Saccharomyces cerevisiae S288C: one gene and its partners. The gene in region 3 interacts genetically with the main gene of each other region. Each region holds a gene or a part of one and is shown on either strand. Other genes may lie near its edges.

What was found.
Region 1: mutations in AFG2 (region 3) and OCA4 together harm fitness more than expected from each alone (negative genetic interaction), as found in Saccharomyces cerevisiae (one large-scale study listed by BioGRID).
Region 2: mutations in AFG2 (region 3) and ENB1 together harm fitness more than expected from each alone (negative genetic interaction), as found in Saccharomyces cerevisiae (one large-scale study listed by BioGRID).
Region 4: mutations in AFG2 (region 3) and YLL006W-A together harm fitness more than expected from each alone (negative genetic interaction), as found in Saccharomyces cerevisiae (one large-scale study listed by BioGRID).

What each region holds. Positions count from the first base shown.
Region 1 is NC_001135.5:286,590-291,904, forward strand, and holds OCA4 (Oca4p), read right to left. Parts: upstream 2,670-5,315; coding exon 1,581-2,669; downstream 1-1,580. Other genes in the region: aminophospholipid translocase regulatory protein CDC50, read left to right, coding at 173-1,348; YCR095W-A (uncharacterized protein), read left to right, coding at 3,050-3,208.
Region 2 is NC_001147.6:16,568-25,605, forward strand, and holds ENB1 (Enb1p), read right to left. Parts: upstream 4,745-9,038; coding exon 2,924-4,744; downstream 1-2,923. Other genes in the region: CSS3 (Css3p), read right to left, coding at 714-1,229; oligo-1,6-glucosidase IMA2, read right to left, coding at 5,958-7,727; hexose transporter HXT11, read left to right, coding at 8,706-9,038.
Region 3 is NC_001144.5:912,050-916,756, forward strand, and holds AFG2 (AAA family ATPase AFG2), read right to left. Parts: upstream 2,844-4,707; coding exon 501-2,843; downstream 1-500. Other genes in the region: tethering complex ATP-binding subunit VPS33, read right to left, coding at 1-261; SKI complex RNA helicase subunit SKI2, read right to left, coding at 3,107-4,707. UniProt on the Saccharomyces cerevisiae protein: ATP-dependent chaperone which uses the energy provided by ATP hydrolysis to generate mechanical force to disassemble protein complexes.
Region 4 is NC_001144.5:129,581-137,021, reverse strand, and holds YLL006W-A (uncharacterized protein), read right to left. Parts: upstream 678-7,441; coding exon 501-677; downstream 1-500. Other genes in the region: ERMES complex subunit MMM1, read right to left, coding at 1-436; LMO1 (Lmo1p), read left to right, coding at 723-2,720; DRS1 (putative ATP-dependent RNA helicase), read right to left, coding at 3,035-5,293; copper metallochaperone COX17, read left to right, coding at 5,608-5,817; PSR1 (phosphatase), read left to right, coding at 6,409-7,441.

The DNA of each region.
Region 1 (5,315 bases), on a different chromosome or scaffold from region 3:
CTTTTGAACTACTGAAAATTAGTGTTACCCGTATTATTGTTTTGGAGAATAATAATAATAATGAGCATCAATTTATATCAAACAAGAGCTGCAATTACCTTATGTCCATGACGCACTGCGAACAAAGAATAATTGAGTAATCGAACTTGAAGTTCTATAGAACAGCTTGTATATGGTTTCATTGTTCAAAAGAGGTAAGGCTCCACCGCTCACGAAAGAAGGCCCCACTTCTAAAAAGCCTCCTAACACAGCGTTTAGACAACAAAGGCTTAAGGCATGGCAACCAATACTGTCTCCTCAAAGTGTGCTTCCGTTGTTAATATTCGTTGCATGTATATTTACTCCTATTGGTATTGGACTCATTGTAAGCGCTACTAAGGTACAAGATCTAACAATTGATTATAGTCATTGTGATACAAAAGCATCTACAACTGCTTTTGAAGATATACCAAAGAAGTACATTAAATATCACTTTAAAAGTAAAGTTGAAAATAAACCACAATGGAGGCTAACCGAAAATGAAAATGGCGAACAATCATGCGAACTGCAGTTCGAAATCCCAAACGATATCAAGAAATCCATTTTTATATATTATAAAATAACCAATTTTTATCAAAATCATCGCAGATATGTCCAATCGTTTGACACAAAGCAAATATTAGGGGAGCCTATCAAAAAAGATGATCTGGATACAAGCTGTAGTCCAATAAGAAGTAGGGAAGACAAAATAATATATCCCTGTGGGTTGATCGCTAATTCCATGTTTAATGATACATTTTCTCAGGTGTTGAGTGGTATAGATGACACAGAAGACTATAATTTAACTAACAAGCATATATCATGGAGTATTGATCGTCACAGATTTAAAACCACCAAGTATAATGCTAGCGATATTGTTCCACCGCCAAACTGGATGAAGAAGTATCCCGATGGGTATACAGATGAAAATCTTCCTGATATCCATACTTGGGAAGAGTTCCAGGTATGGATGAGGACTGCAGCCTTTCCCAAGTTTTACAAGTTGACGTTGAAAAATGAATCTGCTTCTTTACCGAAGGGTAAATATCAAATGAACATTGAGTTGAATTATCCGATTTCACTCTTTGGTGGCACAAAATCATTTGTACTGACTACAAATGGAGCTATTGGTGGTAGAAATATGTCACTAGGCGTACTGTACCTCATCGTTGCAGGGCTTTGCGCCTTATTTGGCATCATTTTTTTGGTTAAATTAATCTTCCAACCAAGAGCGATGGGTGATCACACTTATTTGAATTTTGATGATGAAGAAAACGAGGATTATGAGGATGTACACGCAGAGAATACAACATTGAGGGAAATTTTATAGAGGCCAAAAAACAAACTTTAGTGCCTGTAGGTATTTGTGTTTATAAGTAAACAAGTTTTGTTGACTTCCTGAAACGTAAACAAAAGAAAAATTGAAGTATGCCTTTTTACGCTTGGAAAATAGTGCGACAAAGAACTCCCAGGGTTTGCTATTCCCATTTAGATGATGAAATGATAGAAAAGTGGAAAACGTTTATCATGAAATCATCTATACATATACGTAAAAATGTAAACTATGTAAAAATATGTTCCCTATAAAAGTGATGCTCTTCCGGAACGTTTTCTTTTTCCCACAAATCTCGTTGAAACCTGAACCAATCTGGTAATTCAGAATCACAGGGTATCCTTATTTTGACGTTATCTTTTCCCCTTGCTTTATAATAGCCATAATCTCCATTTTCTTTTTTATTAAATGCTAATCTATACCTATGGCCAAAAATTCCTAGGTCAGAAGAGGTTTTCTTCAAATCGTCTCCTAGAACTCCACTTACTTGTAATACTTTATTATTTTTCACTTTGGTTTCGATTTGATTTATTAATGTCAAAAGCCGCTGAGGCACTTCTGGCTCTCTGCAAAGGTCATCTTCATTTACTCTAATAAGTTTGCCAGAATTGGCCTTATACTCTATCGAATGCGTCCTATTATTCTCAAGGGGCAATTTTTTTGCTTTGTTGTCCACAATTGTCTTATTATCCTTCTCCTGTTCTATCTCAATGTTAATTATTTCTAGAAATGTTTCCGCAAAATAATTTCTATTCTTACCAGAAAATAATCTGTACTCATTTATGATTGATGCAATATTCCATTTCTGAATTTTTCGAAGTATACCAATGACCAACGCGGTCTTATCTACCAATAAAACATTATAATTATCCACATTCAATAATGTTTTGAAAGTTCTTTTTAAACACGTGCTCTTAATCAGCATTAAGTCATCATTGTCAGTCAAGTGGTAAGCCAATTCCTCCTGAATTACAGGATCCCCTGTAGTAGAATTTTGTGACCCATTTGCAGTGGATTTTTTCTTTTCTTCCTGTAATGATAGAGTACTGTTATTATTCGAATATAAATTTGCGTTAGATACAGAAGAGCTTTTTACCGGAACTGCCGCAGCCGAGAAATCAGACATCCTTAAAACAATCCATTTTATGGATGATCTTGTGAAAAAATCTTTGAAAAACTTGGATGGTTCTTGACCTCCAATAAATATAGCTGTCTTTAAATTGAGAGTTTCCAGAAAGGATAAATTTAATGTCTCCACTTTAGAACATCTATATATTCCTTCTTCAGCAATCCCAAAGTTAGCAGGTGGAACCAGCATTATGAATTCAGGTTATGGATCGCACCAGTGCTGTAAGTGTCTCTCTTTTTATTCTACGATCTCCATATAACAACCACATCTCATTTCTTTACCTTACTGTCCATTTAATGCTAGAAAACTTCCGAATATTGTATTATTATTACCCGGATATGTCAAGGCGGTATATTAAGATGTTCCTTTCAAAAGTTTCATTATACCGCATACGGTAAGGACAGCCATAAGTAGTTTTACTGATAAAATATGGGGCTAAAGAACTGTATATTTATGGATAGCACTAAAAGTAAAGATTTTCCCCGTGTCCTGACTTGGAGAAACAAAATTTCATTGTCATAAAAAACTTTTAAAATATGATATTCAAAGCTTGAGCATTGGGCTTCTGGATGACAGTTCTAATCAAGTTGGGTCTAAGGATATTGCATGTATACAAAGGATTCTTTCGGAAAGTAATCCTGAAATATTTTTTTTTTTCGTCTGAACATACGAAAGTAAATAAAAAAAGTTCAATGCATGCCTTCCTATGCAAGATTTATAAAAGGTGAACAGGTCAGGAGCAGCCACATCTCAATAAAGGCAGTTAAAGACGGTGATGTAGGTGCAGAAAGAGAAAGTGAACAAAGGATGATTTGAGATGTGTAATGATTCGTTTGAGCAGCAACAACTGCTAAGATATTCATACTAATAGGCCACTTCACACATTATGCCTTGGAGAATATCCTGCATTGCTCCTTTTATAGTATAGTCTATTCAGCACTAACAAGCAAAGCGAACATAATGGTAAAACTAACTTCAACTGTTGCTGGTGTCGCCTGCATCGCTGGCCCTCCCCTCCACTACGGCCATTTTAGCACAACTTGAATGAGTCAACTTGGTTGAGTTGCATGTTAACGTCTCTGATATCAGAGCTCACTTGCTCAATAATACATGTTACAAACTGCCCACTAAATTGAACACTCTAACATTATATTGACCTGAATTATTTGAAACGAAGTCAACAGAATGATCACTGATTTTCCAATGTACTCCGCTATGTTGAAGCTAGCCATCTTAAGCGATCAATGACGGTGCTCAATCATTCTTCGAAATGGGCTAAAAATGACAGTTGAAATATATTCTTTACGTTCATTTTTTTTCATACTGCAAACCCATTCTAGAACCAATGGTAAAAGTGACGGGAGTTGCTTTCTTTTACTATTTCAATGATAGCTATAGCCTGCATACACACAAAAGAATGTAAGTGATTGCGTGAAAGCTTAAAGTCTTAAAACTGTATTTTTTTCAACTCCTCCCATATATTAAACTGGTCCTCACAGTTCGCAGGATAACTAACAATTAAAAAAATTGTTCATATGGTTGTATTTCTTTCCGTCTCACATTATTAAAATTCAACGAAGAAGTTTCTACAATAACAGACAAGGGCCTACGATTACTATGTACTGGAAGGTGAGTCTTGAATTCATCCTCAGAGATTGTTCTAAAGACCAACAGAAATCCATATAGATTACCGTAGTTACTCTGATGGAATTTCAGAGTAAGACCCTTGTCAACTTCATCACTTTAAGTTGAGATGTAGAAAGACACTTTTGTAAGGTCTCCAACAAGTATATTTGATAAATAGACTGTTGAGCTACAAAAACTCAATGTGAAGTAAAAGACCTCATAAATGATCGATTATCTGTTTGGCAGGTACTAATAAAACTGCATTGGTGTCTTTTTTCACTTACGTTAAAAAAAACTTTTTGCAATGATTTAAGCGTGCGTGAAGATAACACTACAATCCATTTTAAAGCAACATCCACATTGAGTGTATACACCACAAAGGTTTTTTCAGGGCGTTTTTCTCGCCACTTTATGTTGACCAAAATTATTAATGGAACTTACAACGTTTCCAAAAGTTAGTTAAATACATACGTCTATTTACTAAGCAAGAAATATATCATGACAAGCCCAAATATTATATTGTTATGTTTACAAAAAAAAAATGGCTATATACATCAAGTCTGGAGGCTTTTTATAACAAGCAAGTGGGGTAACTTAGACATAAGATTGACTTCTTTGAATTCAACAAAAATACATACTTTTGATGATTTCAATGGTAGAAGCAGTAGTAACTATGCCGATGAAATAAAATCCTGATATCATCTATATAGTAGTACTCACGTTACTAGTATATCATCTATAAGATGTAGGAAAATGTCATAAGAAATGAGAAACAGTCATTAAATTTAATGGAAACGAAATGCAAGGATTGGTGATGAGATAAGATAATGAAACATAGAAAACGAAAGGAGAAATAACAGTAGTATTATTATTATTATTATTATGTAGAAATATTGACTCTCTCTTGTAGATTCATATATCTTCAAGGGGAACTTCTTGTACATTTTGTATACCTATATTATAGCGTTTAACAACAATGGAATCCCAACAATTACCAAAATTTTCACACATTCCTCATATAAAATCTAAGCAATGACTAGAGAACTATCGCTAAATTATATAGAGCAAGGAAACCGAATAATTACATGTGTCAGATAAGAAAAAAATAAAGAAAACAACGCGTCATGAAAAAGAGTTACTGAACCTTCAGATCCTACTTATTGTAATGCTTCGCGACATCCAATCCATTTAATAATCAATTTAAAACTA
Region 2 (9,038 bases), on a different chromosome or scaffold from region 3:
TTGTGAGTTTTATAATACTCCTAGGTTTAGCCACTTTCCAAAGATAGAGCAATCTTTTTGGAATTGAAATGTCAGAGGGATGATTCTGACGATAGACATTTTTCTGATGAACTGTTGCGTACGCACGCATAAAAACAGTATAACTTTAGGTGGTAGCGGTAGTGTCGACTTTTATTGGAATGAGAATTAACTATCATATATCGACTAGTATCCATAGTACGTGTATATTATCGTATACAACGTAAGAAAGACATAAATATTGAGAAACAGTCAACGATTTTAGTAGAGGTTGAAACGCGAGGCTTGATAATTTCATGGGATAATGAATGACGGTATATAAAATGAAAGAAGATGTAATAATATTCATTATCATTCAAACTTTATCTCAGCCCATCCTCATCTTTTTCAGTACTGTATGTGAACTCGTCCACAAACACCGTATAGCTACGTCCTCTTTCATTTTCAGGTATGTATCAGCTTCTTGCATCACGCCACCACTAGCACAACGAAAGTATACAATACAATGTCATTAACCCTAGATGCTGTTGTTCCTCGATGTTGTGTATACATACATTAACTCGAAAGTGCGATGTTAATGATGTCCCAGTGCTATATAATAAATCTACAAACTAAAAAATCTTGATCACATCAACCAAAAATGTATCTTACTGCTAAATGTGTCATAAAAGGGTTCCAGTATCCTTACTACACCATTATATAGAAGACTCTTTATAATTTCTTCCGTCAGAATAATTACTTATCAATAGATTGTTTAACGTAGGAGGAGTTGGATGAGCGCAAGCATTTGTTGAGTTATTCGCAACTGGATGAACATAATGTCCTTCTTCATCATATACACGCATTACCAAATCCATTATATCTGTACAATAATCAGTCTCAGAATTATATGGCTCAGGTCCGTTATAAGTCGATAGATCTAGGTTACTGTACTCATAAGAATCTGTAATAGCCTCCAACTCAACTAAGGTATCCCTATAAATCAAAGATTGCTGATCGCCGGGTTCAAACCGTCCCGTTCTAAGTGTTCTACCACTTTTATCAGAATAAATATCATAGTAAGATGCTTGGAATAGCCAGCATATTTGATTGTTTGTCATATTAGTTGGCAAGTTGAAAAATACTTGGTAACCGCTGGTGATATCAACATATGCGGAGCATAATGAGTACAATTGAGAAAAAATGCAAAATAAACCAAATAAGGGAACCATTTTTTACTAAGCCTCTCTACCCTTTTAAAAATGGTTTTGACTTCAAACGCTTAGGAAGCAAACATGCTACTGCTATTTTTTGTCCAAAATTTTTATCCTTTATAGTTAATGTTTTTAGATATTGCGCGGATCCATTTAAAAGCAATTTTAGTTTGGTTACATAATGTTCAGACATGTATTTTAAAAGGTTAAGCGGCGTGCCTTAAAGCATTTTACTCCCGAGTTTGATTGACTCGCTTATGTTCATAGGTATATTAAACAAGAATTATGGAGAAAACAGTCTTTAACGTGTATTTTTAAATCTATATACATAAACCGTAGGACGCGGCATTCGACTGCTTTGATAAGAATTCAAAAGTTAGTGTCCGGAAATCTATTTTTAGTAAAAGTAATAATGTTATTTGTACAGAGTATTGCAGAAGTTCTCTTTTAGAGTGTTATGAATTCATGAAATCGAATCTATAGCTTGCAATATAATCAATGCCATAATACTACTGTTGAAATAGAGAATTTGGTGAATAATTGGATAATTGTTAGGATTTTCATTATTATTGAAGGCTATAATATTAGGTATGCAGGATATGCTAGAAGTTCTCCTCAGATATATAGCAATTCATGAAGGATCGTCGATTATTCTATAGAATAGTATTATTACTTCACTTTCCATTTTATATGTTGTGATTCATTATCTTATTACATTCCTAATTCTTGAGTGTCAGCTTTCACTAAATTTCATGGCTGTTTCTCTATCTTTATGTCGCCTTCACTTATTTCTACACTCCTCAAGATTAAGTATCTAATTTTTGTAGGAAAACGACACTGCAAAGAGTGGATCAATATATAATAACATGTTTTAAATAAACGTCTACTTATGATGGAAAACATTAACTTGTGAGTTAGGATTTTTTGTATATGAGATATTTTAAAGAAAATTTAGTTCCAAAGGAGAAAATGACTTGCACAAAAATGACATGGGCAAAATACCTAATATTAAATGAGCTCTATCTACAATCCGTGCAGCTATACATACTTTCACGCTTGTTATACATTAATCAGCGAACCATTATAAGTATGGGGCCACTAATATTTCATATATTCTCTGATCTGAGACTGTTGGAGTCGATTTCTCGCACAATCAGCACTGGTTAAAATTTCGTGGGGTTACTGCTTCTTTTAAGTCGGTCAATGTTTTCTTCATTCTTTCGAACTTTGAATATTTTTTATGACGTCAATTATAAGAAGTATGAAAGTCAGGTTAGCAACAGCTAAAACTAAATAATAAAGGGCTCAAGCAGGCTTACGGCAGGTGGTGATTATATTTACACTACTAATTTTTTTTAATTCGTTTACGCTCTAGTAAAAGTTCTTCGCAACATTTTTTTTTATATTTCTTTATAAAAACTACGGGAAATGACAGGTGCGAATAATCTCATTGATTTTTGTATTGTCAAGCCCATTTAAGACTATAATATTGCTGAAATAAACGTAACAAACGTATGGATATTCACTTAGTTAGAAAAGAAAAATAAAATAAAACTAATTCGAACTTTTTGTTGTTTTTTATTTCAGACAACAATATTATACTGTTACACGCCATTATTGATTACTACTTACATTAACAGTGATTATTTCAAAGAGAATTCTAGTTCAGGAAAGAGCTTAACACTATATTTGTATCGCTAGTACTCTCCAGCTCAATATCCAATTACACGACGGAGCCATGATTGTTGTTTGATTTTGAGCTTCTCTTTCTCTCGTTCTTCTGCGGAAAGACTTTGCTTCTTGTTTACAGTAAAGCCACGCAAGAAAAAACAGAGAACAGCATTGAAAGCCGCAAACGAAATGGACACAATTATCAATAAGCGTTGAATCTTCGAATAGGATTCTATCATCTGAACACGAACCTCTGATCCAATAGGGTATTTTTTTAGATAATTGAGTGGTGATTTGTAGATTGCCATCCCTAAACTAGAGCCGAGTCGCTGTATCAACTCCTTTGCCAGACGCTGAGTCCATATAGCACCAGCGATGGAAGCACCTACTGCGTCTCCGATTTGATAAACGGACATTAGTAACCCAGTGACAGTTGCCATCTCATTGTGGGTGGTTGAAGCGTGCACTAGCGTCCACATAGGAAAACGTATCATACCACCAGCTATACCGACCACAATCTCAGCGCCAATAAGACCCGAAATCCCGTCATATACCACCCTGTATTTGTACAAAAGACCCATTCCGATGACACCAAGAAGCGACCCAGCGACTACAAAGACTTTCGGATGAGGATAGAAATGCAGCATAATGCCGACAACAATATTAGTGCATGACTGTAGAAAATTGTAAAGCTGAGCTATCCGCTGCGCACTTAATGTTGATTCTCCGAATGCTACCATTAACACGGTGACCAAATACTCTAACTCAATCTGCAAACCTAGACGCCATACAAATTCCATTAGCAATGCAACGTAGATGGTTGGATCACCTAGATATACTCGTGGGATAAATGGATTCTTAGCAAATTTTAATTCCCAAATTAGAAAGATAAAACCTAAGCAGCCACCAACCACAATCATTGCAATAATGTGACCCTCTCTCCATTTGGAGGTGGCTCCACCAGCTATTGTGAGAGGTAATAATACTAAAACTAAGAAAGCAGTGAAAAGAATGACTCCAATTAAGTTTATGTCATCCGCAAATTTCCAGAGCGTTTGACGCAGGGTCTGTCCTTTTTCTTTCAATTTTAATGGTGGTAACTTACCGCTGCGCCAGGAAATGTACTGAGCATACACATAGGGAAGGACCAATATTAGGGTGGAGATGGGCACAATGATGCAAAAAATTCCATAGCCCCAACGCCATTTATATGGTGCAACATTACCAGCAACTGAGCTAACAATATTTCCACTTACCCATGTGTTTATAATCACGGGAATCAGAAATATGTTCATCGCAAATGTACGATCTCTCAATCCAGACAGATCACCAGTCAGTGCTGTAGCAAGAAGACGAAATCCAGAATAACCGAACTGTTGTATAACAATACCTGCAAAAAGTCCGGAAAACGTTGGAGTAGCAGCAGAAATAATTTCTCCAATAGTATAGAGCACAAGCGCAAAAATCCAGCATTCTATACGTCCAAACCGATCAGATATACGTGCGTATGGCACTGCGACAACAGAGGCTACTATTGATTTGACGGTATTGATCGATCCTACTTGAGAATGCTTTCCAAAACTGTTAGCGGCATAGGTTTGTATTGATTGCGAAATCTGCCCTCCGAGTCCAGTACAGTAACCCTGCAAAAACAGAGCCACCAGTAGGGCGGTCTTGAGTGAACTAAACGTAACTCCAAAAGCTGTGAAAGAGCTGTAGTCAGACAAGACCTTGTTGACAGCGTCTATACGGCGCAAGCCAGACGTGGTAGACTTCTCAACATTGCTATCTGTCTTTTCGCTGTAGCAGACAGTGCTTTTATCGTCTAAATTGTCATTCCTAGAGTGATCAGTTTCCAGCATTTTCAGAGAGACATTCACGAGCACTTTTTTGCTATATTAGAGTTCTGCTAGGACCCAAACCATCATTTCAATTAAATAAGTCATCTCTATTATCCAAACATAGACCCTTCGCCACTCAAAAGCCACAGAGGGGTGCAATTGTAAGCCGTGGCAGCCTCTATAATAGTATACATTTGTATCACATTTGGGTGCAATAATTTAAACAGATTTTTGCAGTTGACTCAGGACTAAGGGCAATTCTTGCCCAAACTACGGAACCCTGTTTCTGATCCGAAGGGCTTATAATCCATAGAAACCCTTACATTTGCTCACTGAAAACCCTGTGTCCTTATTTGGTATATATGATGCGAGGATTAAACGAAAACGGAAAATTTTAGGTTTGAGGGTCCCATTAGTTCAACTAAAAAAGAAAAACGAAAAAAAAAAAAAACAAAGTCAAACCATAAAAAGTTTTGAACTACAGAAAATGTAGGCTTGTCTATTCTCCTGAATTTGACTTTTTTTTTTTCTAACTTTTTCACACCCCTTCATTAACTAATTAAAACTGTCGTAGAATTTCCCTTCATTTTTATTCAGCCATCCTCAGTTAGGAACGATTGATACAGCCTTCATTCGTCATTTCGTGACTTGCATGTTGGATTGGAAAATTTGCTGGCGGAGCAAAGTCAAGACGTTCAGAGGGAATAGTAAATGAGATTGTACGAACCGGTGAATATATTTTGCTGGCTAGATTTTAAATGGCCATTGTGTTATTGCTCTATCAACATAAAAGAAAGTATATGTGTTTTCAGAATCGTAAAATTTGTGACAAACTAAAAATCAGTATCTTCATAAAAGTAGTAGAGACATTTCATAGGTACGTTCCGCCCTTAGATAAATGTGGCTGCAGTTCATAATGCAGTGTGTAGTAGAGATGATTCTGTTGATCATAAACAATAATATATAATTTCACTAGTACTTGTTCTTATATGCACATAACTCGCCGTATTATCTGGCCAAATGAGCTATAGAGTAACCCTTCTCTCAGCATTATTATAATACAATACCAATGCAAGGACATATGGAAAATGCTACACAAAACTATACTTTAGTGTATTACATAACTCATACCGCACTACCAGATATATGTCGTTACTATTTAAAGTGCGGTATGTAACATAGATAAAAATAAGTATATGTATATGTATAAAAATCTTGTCGTCACAATCATCAATCATTCAGATATGTAAATTCTGCCCTCCCATGGCTTCAATGTTCTGGAAGACGCATCAACTTCGCTTCTTGGGTAGTTTCCGAATTCCAACTTAAACGACGAGCTATTGTTTGGAATCGTGAAGTCAATCGAATCAGAGCTGAAGTTCAAAGCAGCAAACAATGTTTTGTTGTCGTATTTCTTTGTGAAGCTGAACAGTTTCTTATTGTCCAAATCAATAAACTCAAAATCATATCCATATACAGTAATATCCTTGTGTGCCTTTCTAAATCTCAAGGCCTCCTTCCAGAAGTTCAAAACCGAGTTGGGATCCTTGGATTCGTCTTCAGCGTTAATTCCTTCCCTGAAAGACTCGTTCAAGTAAAACCATGGTTTAGCATTAGGACCAGAAAAACCAGCATTTGGCTCCTCACGAGACCATTGCATAGGTGTTCTAGCATGGTCTCTGGAAATAAGGGCAATTGCTTCCAAAAACCTCTTCATCTCCTTCGAGTTTTCTCCATGCTCTTCCTTGATCGCATCATAGTTATTTCTAACTTCGACATCCTCGTATTTTTCGATAGGCCAGTTCTTGAAATTGATTTCACCCAGTTCCTGTCCTTGGTACACATATAGAGTACCGCTCAGTGACACCAACAACACAGACAACAACTTACCAGAAATAACACGGTTCTTAGGAGAATCGTCACCAAATCTGGTAATTGAACGAGGTTGGTCGTGATTTTCCAGATAAATTGTTGACCAACAATCAGTTCCGTTAACGTATCTGAAAAGTTCAGCAAGGGCAACCTTCCAATCCTTTAGTTCATATGGGATCAAATTTTGACGGAACTTGGGCGAAGTCCCGACATCAGTGTGGGAAAAGTTGAATAACTCACTAAGTTCGTGTCTTGATGCACTTGTATACAACCTCTTGGTTTCATCAGTAGCATGTTGCATTTCACCAACTGTCATAATTTCTCTGCCATCCTTCACTCTGTTTCTGATGAACTTGTTCATTTCTTGATGAAACTCATGGATACGTGGTCCGTTCATTGTGAAAGGATCACTGGGTTGCCACTTTGAGTTTTCGTCAATCACAGGAGCGTCTGGTAGACCAGCAACCTTGGAGTACAAGCTTCCCACATCAATTCTAAAGCCGTCTACACCATGGTCTAACCAGTATCCAACGGCACTTTCGTAGATTGCCTTTCTACAGTCCTCATTCTCCCAATTCAAATCAGGTTGGGTGGAGCAAAACAAACGCAAGTAAAACTCTTGTGTCTTTTCATCGAACGTCCATGCAGAACCACCGAAGTAAGACCTCCAATTGTTTGGAGGAATTGGCTTGCCTTCGGCGTCATAACCCTTAGGAGGTCTCCAGAAGAACCAGTCACGTTTTGGATTGGTTTTTGAGGATCTGCTCTCTTTGAACCATTCATGTTCGCTCGAGCAATGGTTGATGACTAAGTCGGTGATAAATTTCATACCAAGCTTATGTGTCTTTTCGATCAAGGCAAAGCAGTCCTCGTTCGTACCGTAGGTTGGCCAGACCTTTTCGTAGTTGGCAATATCGTAACCCATATCATCTTGTGGCGAGTCGTAGAATGGTGAGATCCAAATGGCATCGGCACCAAGCTCTTTGATATACTCCAACTTGGAGGCAATACCCTTCATATCACCCCACCCATCGTTGTTGGAGTCTTTGAAACTTGCGGGATAAATTTGATAGATTGTGGCCTCTTTCCACCACTTGGGTTCTGTTTCTGGATGTGCAGAAGAAATAGTCATTGTACGTTGCTTTCTTTTCTTTATGAAAAAACTTTCACTTTTGTTTGTGTGTTTGGACTGGTGAATGGAACATATATTCTAGTACAGCTAATTCCTCGAGTGAAGAAGTCTTTCTTACTTATATATGTCTTTTACGTGCCTATGGACGTCTTACGAATGATCGAAAATAAGAAAAGAACAAAGTAAATTTAGGATCTGGAAGGAGTGCTGTATGTAAACGAAGCTTTCAGTTTTAGGTAATGTTTGCACAACCTACATGATATAACATGGTATGTTCTGCAAGAGCGTGCCTGGCCCTTGGCCCGTTATAGCAGATCATACCATCTGCAAGCAGACCCCATTATTGCACTGCCTCCGCAATCTTGCGTATACGTAGTCCCACGACAAAGTACGAAGCGTAAACTGACCTTGTTCAGTTCCCCACAAAAATTACATAACCATTTCTCCGCGGAATTACATAATCATTTCTCCGCGAAAATTACATAATCATTTCTCCGTGCGAGTTATAAGTGCTTTTCTCGTGCATCCCTTGGCACTTCACAAAACCTTCTTTTTCTTTTTTTTCTTTATTTCAGGGGAAATCAGTGCAAAACTAAAAAAGAAAGAAATTTTGTGAAATGTAAACTCCAGGTGTCAAAAAATAAATTATATCCGTGGAAAATCAGGCGTCGGAAATTGTAGATGAAACCGCCTCCTCCACAATAAATGCTGACCACACGAACAATGCATACACTCGGACACCTTCGTTCAAAGTATCAGTAGCAGTTCGACACACCGTATACTACTTAGCTCTTAAGGTCTAGGCTCATCTTTCTCAGTTCCTCTTTTTCGCTAATTAAAGGTATATAATGTCACAGTTGTGTAACTAGAGAAGAGCACACTTGTTCCTATCTTTTTCTTCTTCTTTTTTTGGTATGAGTTGAAAAAAATAATCATTGCACAATTTAGTTCTAAACGCTTTTGTTATTACTCAATATCATGTCAGGTGTTAATAATACATCCGCAAATGAGTTATCTACTACCATGTCTAACTCTAACTCAGCAGTAGGCGCTCCCTCTGTTAAGACTGAACACGGTGACTCTAAAAATTCCCTTAACCTAGATGCCAATGAGCCACCTATTGACTTACCTCAAAAACCCCTCTCTGCGTATACCACCGTCGCAATCCTGTGTTTGATGATTGCATTTGGCGGCTTCATCTTTGGTTGGGATACCGGTACCATTTCTGGTTTTGTTAACCTTTCTGATTTCATCAGAAGGTTCGGTCAAAAAAATGACAAGGGAACCTACTACTTATCGAAAGTAAGAATG
Region 3 (4,707 bases):
AATAAGAAAAATAAGATCCATTTGCGGAACGCTGCCTAAGGCACTCGGTAAATCGTCACTTAGCTGATCATCGAGTAACGTAATTTTCCTTACAGGAGTTGATTGAGTCAAATCTTGGAAAGTTAGCAAACTATTGAGTACTGGCAATACACTTGGTTGAACCACAAGAACTTCATCATTTTGAGATATCTCATTTAAGGTAGCACATAGTCCATCGGCATTTGTTAATGAAAATTTCTTAGTATTCCAAAATCTATTCATCGTGAAATGATTTGATAAAGTTGGAGATGGGCAATATCAGCTTTTTCTTCCTTTCTCGAATTTTCTATCTTTTAACTAATTAACATATAACTAGTTCCAATTTGCTAACCTTTATGATATTTTATTTATGTATGTTCGTGTGAAGTGATTAATATATTATACAAAATGACCGGAGTTCAGTATAATTTCTATCTACTATTATTGAGCACACAAAGGAAAAGAATTGACTATGAACAAGCTTACGAAGATGAACCGCTTCTTAGAGCAAACTCTTCATAATAAGAGAGCATTTCTGGAGTAATGCCCCTAGCAATTCCTTTAAAAGCTTTCTCAAAATGACGTAATTCCACTTTTGCGACATCTAAATCTTCCATTATGGCAGCCAAGCCCGCTTCTTGACAAAGCAGCACAACTTCAGCTCCGGAATAACCTTCTGTACGGTCTGCCAATTCATGAAGATCGACTCCAGACTCTTCTGTATTAAATTTCTTTGTGCACTTCTTTAAGATTTCCAAGCGGGCGTTTACGTCTGGAGGGCCAACGTAAATGTGTCTATCTAACCTACCAGGCCTTAGAAGAGCAGCATCTATTTCATCAGGTCTATTCGTCGCCGCTACAATAACTACACCCTTTAACTCTTCAACACCATCAATCTCATTGAGTAAAGATGTGAGCACGTGATTAGCTGCAGAGGTGGAACTCCCGTCTCTATCAGGAGATAATGCATCGATTTCATCAAAGAAGATAATACTTGGAGCTGCAGAGCGTGCTTTGCGGAAAATTTCTCTTATAGCTCTTTCGGATTCCCCTACATACTTGTTAAAAATTTCAGGCCCTTTCACAGCTAAGAAGTTGATACCCGATTCTGTAGCGAGAGCTTTTGCGGTTAATGTCTTGGAGCAACCTGGCGGCCCGTAAAGTAATACACCTTTTGGTGCAGAAATTCCCAGCCTGGCAAAAGTCTCCGAAGCCTCCAAAGGCAACTGTATCATTTCTTTCATCTTTGTTTTAAGCTCTTCTTGGCCGCCAATGTCAGACCAATAAACTTTTGGCATTTCTAAGAAGATTTCTCTCATTGCGCTGGGTCTGATATCAACCATGGCGCTCTCCACATCTTTCAATGTAACTTTTAGGGAAAACTTGTCAATATTGGCGTCTGTTCCTAGTCCTCGTTGTATCGTCTTCATAACTGATTCTCTGCAGAGAGCAGTTAAATCAGCACCAACATAGCCATGCGTTTTAGAAGCAATGTACTTGATCGCTTCAGAATCTAATACGTGACGATCCGAGGACATTCTTGAGAATTGCTTAGTTAAAATGTCAAATCTGGCATCAACGTCTGGTATACCAATTTCTACTTCTTGGTCAAACCTGCCAGGTCTCCTGAGAGCAGGGTCGACAGAATTAGGCCTGTTTGTAGCAGCAATTACCACCACTTTACCTGCAGCGCCCATGCCATCCATTAGGGTAAGCAATGTAGCCACGACTCTGCTCTCAACTTCACCGGAGTCATCGTTTGCTCTATTTGGTGCTATTGAATCAATTTCGTCAATGAAAATAATGGAAGGCTGGTACTTCCTTGCTTCATTAAAAATATCTCTTAATGCCGCTTCCGTTTCACCAAGATATTTGGAGACGATTGAGGGGCCATTAATGGTTAGGACGTGTGCGTTGGACGTATTTGCTACAACTCTCAAAAGCATAGTTTTACCAGTACCTGGGGGTCCGTGAAGAAGTATACCTCGAGGGGGAGAAACACCAAAGCTACTAAATAGCGTCGGTTGATGAAGAGGTATTTCAATAGCACTTTTCAGTGATTCAATCTCCTTGTCTAAGCCGCCCACTGCTGCATAGGATAAGGGCTCCGGAAGATTGTATTTACGATTTGCCTGGGTTTCTTTCGAAAAAGTTATATGTGTGGAGCCTTTTCTGAATATAAAAGGTGGAGATAGATAAAACAGGTTATCTAATCCACCGTACATATCGTCCATGTTAAGATCTAGTTGGCTGACGTCGGGAAGCGAATCATCGCTCGCATCTGTAATTACGACATCAATGCTTTCATCACCTGCTTTTGTTTTTAAGTTTTGAAAAATCATTCCAGGCATTATAACGCCACTATCATCCAGTAGCTTTTGAATTACTTTTTCCTCCATACATTCCAAAATATTATATCCTTGTAAGGACCCCACGGTAACCTTAGTGGCATAAGGTGGTTGCACCTGGGCTTTCTTTAATTCTAGACGATCACCAAGGATAAGGTTCCCAACAGATCGTATAGTTGTGGAAAGGGTGATAACATTAACAGGATGTACTTCTTCATCACCCGCTCTAGCTATTACTAAAATACCATTTTCGCCTATCTTACCGACAGTACAAAATGATCCCGGATTTATCTCAAGCGAGGATAATACGTTAGGATGAATATATGCTGTGCATGTTTCCTTGCCATGATCTTTAGAAGGATGTGGTCTGGTAATAAATTCAGCAGGCAATTTAAATTTGGATGCTTTTGCATCAGCACTATTAGAACTTGCCGATGATTTCTTTTTGGAACCGGAAGAACTAGATTTAGGAGCCATTTTCCTTTCTATGATTGGGCAATTTTGAGAATGGGCAATGTTGAGAATTCAATTGTATATTGTTCGCATATTAGTTTATGTGATGAGGCAATATAAAATTTTCTTACAATAGTCCGCCCGTTGCTTACATGAAAGAAAAAAAAAATAAAGATGGATCGAAGTGGACTTAAAAACTATGTATACGTGTGTGTGTGTGTGTGCAATAAGAGTTCGAAAACATTAACTTTTATAAACATGACTCACATTGAGAATAAATGAGCTCTCTATAAATACAAACTTGCGGCGAAAACAATATCTCTCTTAATCAACTCTTGAGCCCTGCTCATCTTCATATGTAATGTGGAATTACCAATAATAATAGAGGCAGTCTTAACTTCGCGGCAAATTTCGTCTAGCCAAGTGATAACTCTGACTACAGTACCTTCAGCCTCGGGGCTCATTTCCATGATTTCTTTGAATGATAAACCACGGGCCCACTCATACACCACATTCATCATGGCAAACCTTTTTCTGTCCAAAAACTCAGCTTCATCCTGAGTTAATGGAATCTGATGCGTATTGAAAACACAAAGCATTTTCTTGTAAATTTCCTCAATTCTTTGTTTACCCTTTGCTAGCCTTGGTGTGACAATAGGAGGCTCCTCTTCCCTGGTTTTCCCCTCATAAACAAATACTGATAATAAGGCTACAATCTCTTCAGGTTCAAAGCTTCCTAAAAAGTTGTCTAAAATTAATTCAGTTAAAACTAACTCATAACCAGAATTAATTTCACATGCCACTCTACCTTTTAACAGCACGTTGTGGTTTTGGTCGATAAATTCAGTGTCTTTCAGAACAGCCAATCTCTTTTCATAATCGGGTAGTAAGCTCAGATTTTGGTCAGACATCAAATGGTACAATTCTTCAATTTTCTTTTTAATTACATGCGCCTTAAACTTGGGAACAATGTGTTGGCTTAGGTTGGGACATTTAATGCTTTTTAGTTTGAATATCTCATCCCTTATATTTGTACGGTCTAACAATATTTGGTGAATTTTTAAACCTTGCTTTTCAATGTTAATTGCTTCTTTTAGCGTTTTGCCGTCCAAAATGTTATTTGTTTCAGCGTTAAACTCGTTCAAAGCGGCAACATCCTTTTTAATCACTTTTCCCAAGGGTGCGGCAAACTTGCGTTTAGTGATCACTTCAATAGCCGTCACAGGAACTTCTTCCATATAAAAATCAGTCTTCTGGAATTTAGGGAAGTTCCTTCTTCTGTATCCATCCGCTTTTGGAAAGTATATTAAATGATTTGGCTCACCATTTGGGAGTTTGTATGGTTTTGTGAACGTCATAATGACACAAACAGCATCCTTCAGAGAAACTTTAAATACAAATCCTAATTTCAAGCAATCATTGGGGTCCCTAAAAGCAACGAGTCTGCCCTCTTTCAAGATATGCAATATCGAAGGCGATTTAACCATTTCTTGCATTAGGTTGACTGTTGCCTCCTTATATGCCAGCATCAATTCCAAAAACTTTTCGATATCATTATCACAGATTTCACAACTTTTGTACTCTATGGTTTGTAATTCCTCTTGTAATACTTTGATTTGTTTTTCATGTTCAGGTTGTAAAGTTTCTTTGGCATTCTCACTAAAAGAATACTTGATCATTTCTTCAACTCTCAACGCCTCAATTCTTAAAAGATTTAATATCATATTGTATGTTAATCTAAACTGAGACTGCAACCTCGTCGGAACACCCATCGTTACTTCTTTGAACGTAGCAATAGATAAAGGACTATTATATGCCATCACAATGACTGTACCAGTGGAATCCAAGCCCCTTCTACCAGCTCTACCAGCCATTTGGGTAAACTCAC
Region 4 (7,441 bases), 780 kb from region 3:
GATATTCTTTAAATTTTGATCTGTGACGGGAGGCTGCAGGTTTCGGATTCTTACTTTTAGATGGCTCATCACTGAATATAAAGAACTTTAGGAAAAAGATGAACAACAACACTATGCTTAGCTGTCCTACAAAAAACCCTTGAGCAAACGACCATCCAGAAAATTTGGAGGACGTTGCTAACGATCCTAACGAAGAAGGATGCAACACGCTTTGCATTTGCAAAGCTTGAATTGCATCATCGAGACCTTTGAAGCTCCCGTTTTTACTGACATTAAACTCTGAGTTGTTTGAAGTTTGCTTTAAGTCATTAGTAGTAGAACCCTTCAAATTCTCCATGATTAGTCTCTGTAAATGTTCAGGTAGCTCTTTGCTTATATAATCGTCAAACGTCATTAACGAATCCGTTTCGGTGGATTCATTCTCACTATCAGTCATTTTCAGAAAAAGGCTACAGGTATTATATTGACTCTCTCAAAGTTCTTTCATCTCATTGAGAAAATTATGAGGGGCACTTATTGTTGTAGATGATCTTTATTGGATGTTGACGGTTCTTCGGAATTGAAACGGATAGGCAGAAAGTGAAAAAATAAACTATTAAGGAAATACATGAAAAGAAGTAAACTGAAATGTATACAAGGGCAACCCGTTCCACGTTGGATTGACTCAATTGTGTCATCAGTAGGAAAATAGATTAAAGTAACCTCAAATAACGGCATAAGCAATGAAGCATAACAGGCAGATGCCAGATGAAAGCTTGGAAAACATAAAAGTGCTACTGAATCCTAAATTAGGAAAGCCAGTCAAGTCACTTACGAGTGCACAATCAAAAGCTTGCTATCATACGCTGATCAGTAATAAAAATTTGAACAAGACAAGTGATGAATACGAAAAGTTATTGGCAAACTATATCCTCCTTTGTGATGAAAAATACCTATGTAAAACCGTAATTCCAGATTCCCGATTTTGGGCTATATTGTGTGATAATTGCCAAAAGCTAAGGTCAGAAACGTTGGTAGCAAATCTCATTAGGATTTTTAATGTAGCCCTTAAATGCCAAGATTCTAATAAGAATGAAGTTATTGTGAGCATCTGCCACATCTCCAGAGAGAACTCTCAGCTCATTGGAATACTTTTACAACTTTTGTCCCAAAGACCTATTCATATACCGTTGTTTACGGACACTATACTATGCATAACCCTATTTTTAAAATGCTCACTTACATTATGTGAGACATCACTATCACACGCCGTAGAATTTGTACCCAGAATCCTCATTTTGCTATTTCAGTATAACTTTCCAGCTTCCATGTCTGAATTACTTTACATAGAAGACTTGCAACCACTAATCCTTGAAGAATTTGTACCGTTAAAGCAGAGGCTAATAAATTTTCTATCTTCGGTTAGTATTGATGATTATTCCTGTTCGCTTAAAGCTGATCTTCTTACAGCCATCAAAGATAACTCCGTATTCCAAAAAGGGTTAGAAATGGAAATGGGCGATCTTCCCAGTATAAATTTATTAAATGCGTATGATACATTCACATTCTTAAACAGTCCTAATGGGTCTTTCAAGAGACTTTACACTGAACAATTGTTGTTTGGCGAGAACGATTTCCCTCTTTATGAAGCAATATTTAAACTTTCAGACCAATTTAGAAGACTTTTCAATCTAAGTGGGAAAAAAGAGAACCAATACTCAGACTCAGAGCGTGATTTAAAATTACAAATTGCTACCGCTGTTCTCAATCGACAAACATGTTTTTACAAAACACTCGAGTTGTTTTTGAGATTTTGGATAGAATCATTAGCAAAATCGCAAAGTGATTTGGTTTCACTGTTAAATTTAGCTATTATCACTTTAAAATATGTTTGTTTGTCATCCAGTGATTTGGAAGCAGCAATACAGACGAAATCCCTTCTCAAGACCCAAGTTGTTGCACTTGACTCTATGAGATATAAATTTGCAAGAACATTACAATTAGACTCAATCAAAAAAGAACAGTATCGAACCTGGTCATCTAGTATCGCTAGCTTCGATACCATGCTATCAGGCCAGGTTCGTGATTACGTTCGTCATCAAAGACTTCTTCAATTGCAAAAGGGAACGTGGGTTTACGCAGAGAACCCACTGAATCCTGAAGCTGGCACGCCTAAAGTCTACTTCCTCATAGTTTCAGATAACCACGCAAATTTATTAGCCAGAGAATTCGAAACACAAACAAACGATTTACCTTATCTATTCGACAATAAAATTTTAACAAGTCCAGGTTCTGAGGCATTAGCTAATGGCAGAACAAAAGTTGTTGTTTTGAAACATATAACCTCTTTCAAAAGCATAGAACTTACTACACCGAGTCGTCGGACGAGCAGTAATGTTTACATCAAATTAGATGAAGCCAATGTGTACACTGGAGTTGAATTAAAAGATCGTAACGACAGGACAGTTTTGAAATTTTATTTAGACACAGAAGAGGGAAGATATATATGGCTAGACGGATTGAAATTGATATCTCCATTCCAGCATGAAGATATATCAGAAGACACGAAAGAACAAATAGACACTTTATTTGATTTGAGGAAAAATGTTCAGATGATAAATTTGAACGTTCGTCAGGACATCATAGTGCCTCCACCTGAACCAAGCGACGAGGACGAAGATGAAGAATTTTATAACTTGGAAACGTTAAAGAAAGTAACCCAAAATTTTTATTTTGATTAAGATACAAATTTGTCGTCAGACGATTTTTTTTTATTTATAACTTTTTTTTACTAGAATGGAATGTAATTTTGTAATTCTTTCCCGCAAGTAGCTTGAGTCTCCATTCAGTTCGTTTGTACTTGAAAAATCCTTTTAATATAGCATATAGCTTGCAGTTTATTAATACTCACTTCTACAGATTCAACAAAAAAAAAGGAATTTTTGACTAATCCCCTGTTTATTAGATGAATTAATGATATTTAAATACAAAGTATTAATAATATAATGACAGTGATAAGTATGTTGATATTTTATGATAATGACGATGAAAATTATTACCTACGGCTTTTGAAGCCCTTCTTCTTATTTGAATTTGTACTCTTCTGCTTTTTAAAAGTTCTTTCTTGATCTGCAATACGGTCGGTTTTGGTTTTTCTATAAGAACGTGCACCATTGCCATCTGCCTTAGCTTCTTCACGCTTTCTCTTTTTGCTGTTAGTGACTTTCTTGTTCCTTGATAAAGCACCTAATACTTTGGAATTTTTCTTATCTGATTCGCTTTGGAACCATGTCCTTCTTGGTCTTGCCTGGATTTCCTTTTTATGCTTCAACATATTTTCACCCTTTCTTAATTGCATTTCAGCCCTTAATATTTCCTTCTCCTCCTTTTCTTCCACCAGAATATCTTCAATCGTATCGTTCATGGATTCAACAAGTTTGTTTGTTTCTTCGATTTGAACCCAGTCTACGTTTCTACCAAGTGCTTTACCTTGAGTTAGGGACTTATTTTCTTCTACACTCTTTATAGCAGCACGTACAATACTTCTATCTTGAGATGATTCACCGACGAAGGTGACGGAACGACCTTCCCTACCAGCTCTGGCGGTACGACCAACTCTATGCAGGTAGATCTCATAACTCTTGGGCATATCGTAGTTGATAACAACCTCAATCTTGGGGATATCAAGACCTCTGGAGGCCAAATCCGTACAGATAAGTACAGGAACTTCCAAATTTTTGAATTTATTAACGGAATCTAAACGCTGTTCTTGGGTTAAAGAACCGTGTAATTCACCCACACTCATACCTAAAAGACCCATGATAATCCTTAACCTATGAGCAGTTTCTTTTCTAGCCACAAAAACGACAATCCTCTTTTGACCCGTTGGATCCAATTTCCTAATCAAATTAAATAACAAGGCAGGCTTCAAATGGTCTCTTTTACGAATACGAACGAATTCTTGTGTCAACTTAGTAGCAGCTTTCTTTGGAGGATCAATCATAATCCTTACTGGTTTTTTTAGAGAAAGACTAACTAAACTTTTAATTTTGGAGTTCATTGTAGCAGAAAACAATAGGTTCTGTCTATTGCTTGGTAATAGGCCCATAATTTCGTTCAGTTCATCTTGAAAACCTTCTTCTAACATTCTATCGGCTTCATCCATAACCAGAATCTCTACTGAGTCCACATTAAAACTTGCTGAGTTCCTGATATGATCAATGAATCTACCTGGGGTAGCAATGACGATGTCCGGACGAGATTTCAACATTTGTTCTTGTTGTCTCAAGTTCAAACCACCAACGGCCAGACCAAAGGTTATACCGGAGACGAAACGTGCAATTTGTTTACCAACGTCAGCGACTTGGATAGCTAACTCACGAGTGGGCAATAGAACAATAACTCTGGTGGAAGCGATTTTGGCTGGTTTATACAACAAACGCTCGATTATGGGAATCATAAACGCAGCAGTCTTACCGGAACCAGTCACAGCACCGGCAATGATGTCTTTACCCAATAAGGCAATGGGGATTGTGGCGCTTTGAATAGGGGAAGGCTTGACGTAACCCAAACTTGCAAGGCCCTTAAGAACCGGACGAGATAAAGACAAACTGTTGAAATTTTCGTACATTTGCTTTTTAGCTTCATCTCCCTCAGTTTCAGGCGCATAGAAATCGGCTTTTGCCTCTTCAGAATCGTCTTCTTCATCTATTTCGTCATCTTTGCCGCCTTTTTCTAACGTCATCTCTTCTTGTTCCTCCTCTTCCTCCTCTTCCTCTTCCTTTTCCTCCTCTTCTTCTTCTTCTTCTGACTGATTTTCGTCTCCATTGTTCATGGGAGCTCCCATACCGAACCCGTCCATTGCTAATTCCTCATCGTCGCTATCGTTTTCTTTTTCTACTTTTTCTTTCTCGGTTTCTTCTTCTTGTTTACTATCAATATGGGCCATTTTCACCAGCCCACCTTTTCTTCTAATAATCTTATCCAAGTCAACGTCCTTCTTCACAAAAGCTTCGGCATCGTCCTTATTGGACTCGCCCTCTGCTAGAAAGTTCCAGCCTTGGAAGTTCGAAGTGGTATCATCGGCGTCCAAATCAAACTTAAACCCCGCGTCCAAGTCCTCATGAACATCCTCATCGAGGTTATCCCCCTCACTAACCTTTTTCTTGTTATTCTTACCCTTCCGCTTCTTCGTAGTCTTCTTAGCCTCGACTTTTTCGTCATCAGAAGAATCTAGAATTGGAACATCGTCTTCACTGTCACTGATTGTAGGGACAAAGTCCAAATTAGAGTATTTTTTAGTTCCTACCACCATAGTATATATATAAGACGCTGTTGTAGGCACACAGCTCCAATTCGAAACCCAAGTTACCAACGTAAATACTCATACTATCTAAGCATATTCTAACTTACAATTTTCAACCTCATCTCATCGCATTTTTTGAAAATTTTTTTTCAAATCATTACCCGGATAATGTTATAACCCTACCTATCTCCTTCAAAAAAAGATAAAATGACGATATATAGCGGCGAATCAGAATCTAGTAACCACCTAACTACTTGTCTCTAGTACAACTAAACAAAATTTTAGTGTACACAATCAGATAACTACACAATCAATTATACCCAATGACTGAAACTGACAAGAAACAAGAACAAGAAAACCACGCGGAGTGCGAGGACAAACCTAAGCCATGTTGCGTTTGTAAGCCAGAAAAGGAGGAGCGGGATACATGCATCTTATTCAATGGACAAGACTCTGAAAAATGCAAGGAATTCATTGAAAAGTACAAAGAGTGCATGAAGGGTTATGGCTTCGAAGTTCCAAGTGCAAATTAGTCTTACTGACAGTCTGCCGACAACCATTTCTTGTATATATAAGAATAGGTATTCACAAACTATAGTATATACTACCTGTAAATATGTGCGATGCACAATTAACATTACCTCATCACTACTACACCACTTCTACTGCTAGCACTGTCCTCTTGTGCTTGGCCCCTTAAGAGTGTTCTAAGACCACGTGACCAGAAAAGGACGTATCACGTGACACAAACCTAATAACTTTTTTAGGAAACCCTAAGTCAGGGCACGCTTGCTTTGTTTCTTTTTTTTCTGGAAAGAACGGAAAAAAAAAAAAGTCTGGGATTAGTTAGTGTATATTAAGTGAAAAAGTATAGAAATAGGTGTCGAGAAGAAGTGCTCGTTGAACCATACTGCTCACAATACTCTTTCATTGAACTCTTTATTACGTTGTCGTCAAGTACAACTCCTTCCTTTATCGCCTGCCTAGCCTATAGTCTGCTCTCTTCGTGTCATTCCTTATAGCATAATCAATCGCACTTCCCCTTTCATTGTGCGTTTATCCAAGCTTTTTATTTGCCTACATTCGTGTTCGTAAGCTTTAACAACAATAAGTAGCAAAACAGTATGGGTTTCATATCGTCAATACTGTGCTGCTCTTCCGAGACGACACAATCCAATTCCAATTCTGCTTATCGCCAACAACAGAGCAGTTCTCTCAATAAAAACAGAAGCGTTAAACATTCCAACACGAAAAGCCGAACCCGTGGCGTACATCAGACAAACTCTCCTCCTTCTAAGACAAATTCAGCCGCTACTTTCAGTTCCACTGAACGATCCACCGGTAAATCTGGGATAAGCACGAACGATAATGAAAAAAAGAAGCCATCGTCGCCGACTGCAGCCGTCACCGCCACTACTACTAATAATATGACAAAAGTAGAGAAGCGAATTAGTAAAGATGATCTTTACGAGGAAAAATACGAGGTTGACGAAGATGAAGAGATCGACGATGAAGATAACCGTCGCAGTCGTGGCATTGTACAGGAAAAAGGAGATGCTGTGAAAGATACTTCCAGGCAGAAAAAACAACAGCAGCAACAACAACAACAGTCACAACCACAACCACAACCCCAGTCACAGTCACAGTCACAGTCGCAGTCGCAGTCGCAGCAGCGAGGGCCTACTGTACAAGTATCGTCTGACCATCTTATCCAAGATATGAATTTGAGTAGGGTAAGTAGCAGCTCTCAAGCCAGTGAAACTTCCAACGATGCCGACGACGAAGACGATGAAGATGAAGAATATATTGATCTAACGCTTTTGCAGCAGGGCCAGTATCATGCACCAGGTTACAACACTCTGCTCCCCCCACAAGATGAAAGTACAAAGGGCAAGAAATGCCTAATACTGGACCTGGATGAAACCTTGGTACACTCTTCTTTCAAATACTTACGATCTGCGGATTTTGTTTTGTCTGTGGAAATAGATGACCAAGTACACAATGTCTATGTCATTAAAAGACCTGGTGTGGAAGAATTTTTGGAAAGAGTCGGAAAATTATTCGAGGTTGTAGTCTTCACGGCTAGTGTCTCTCGATACGGTGATCCTTTGCTTGATATATTAGACACAGATAAAGTCATTCATCACAGATTATTCA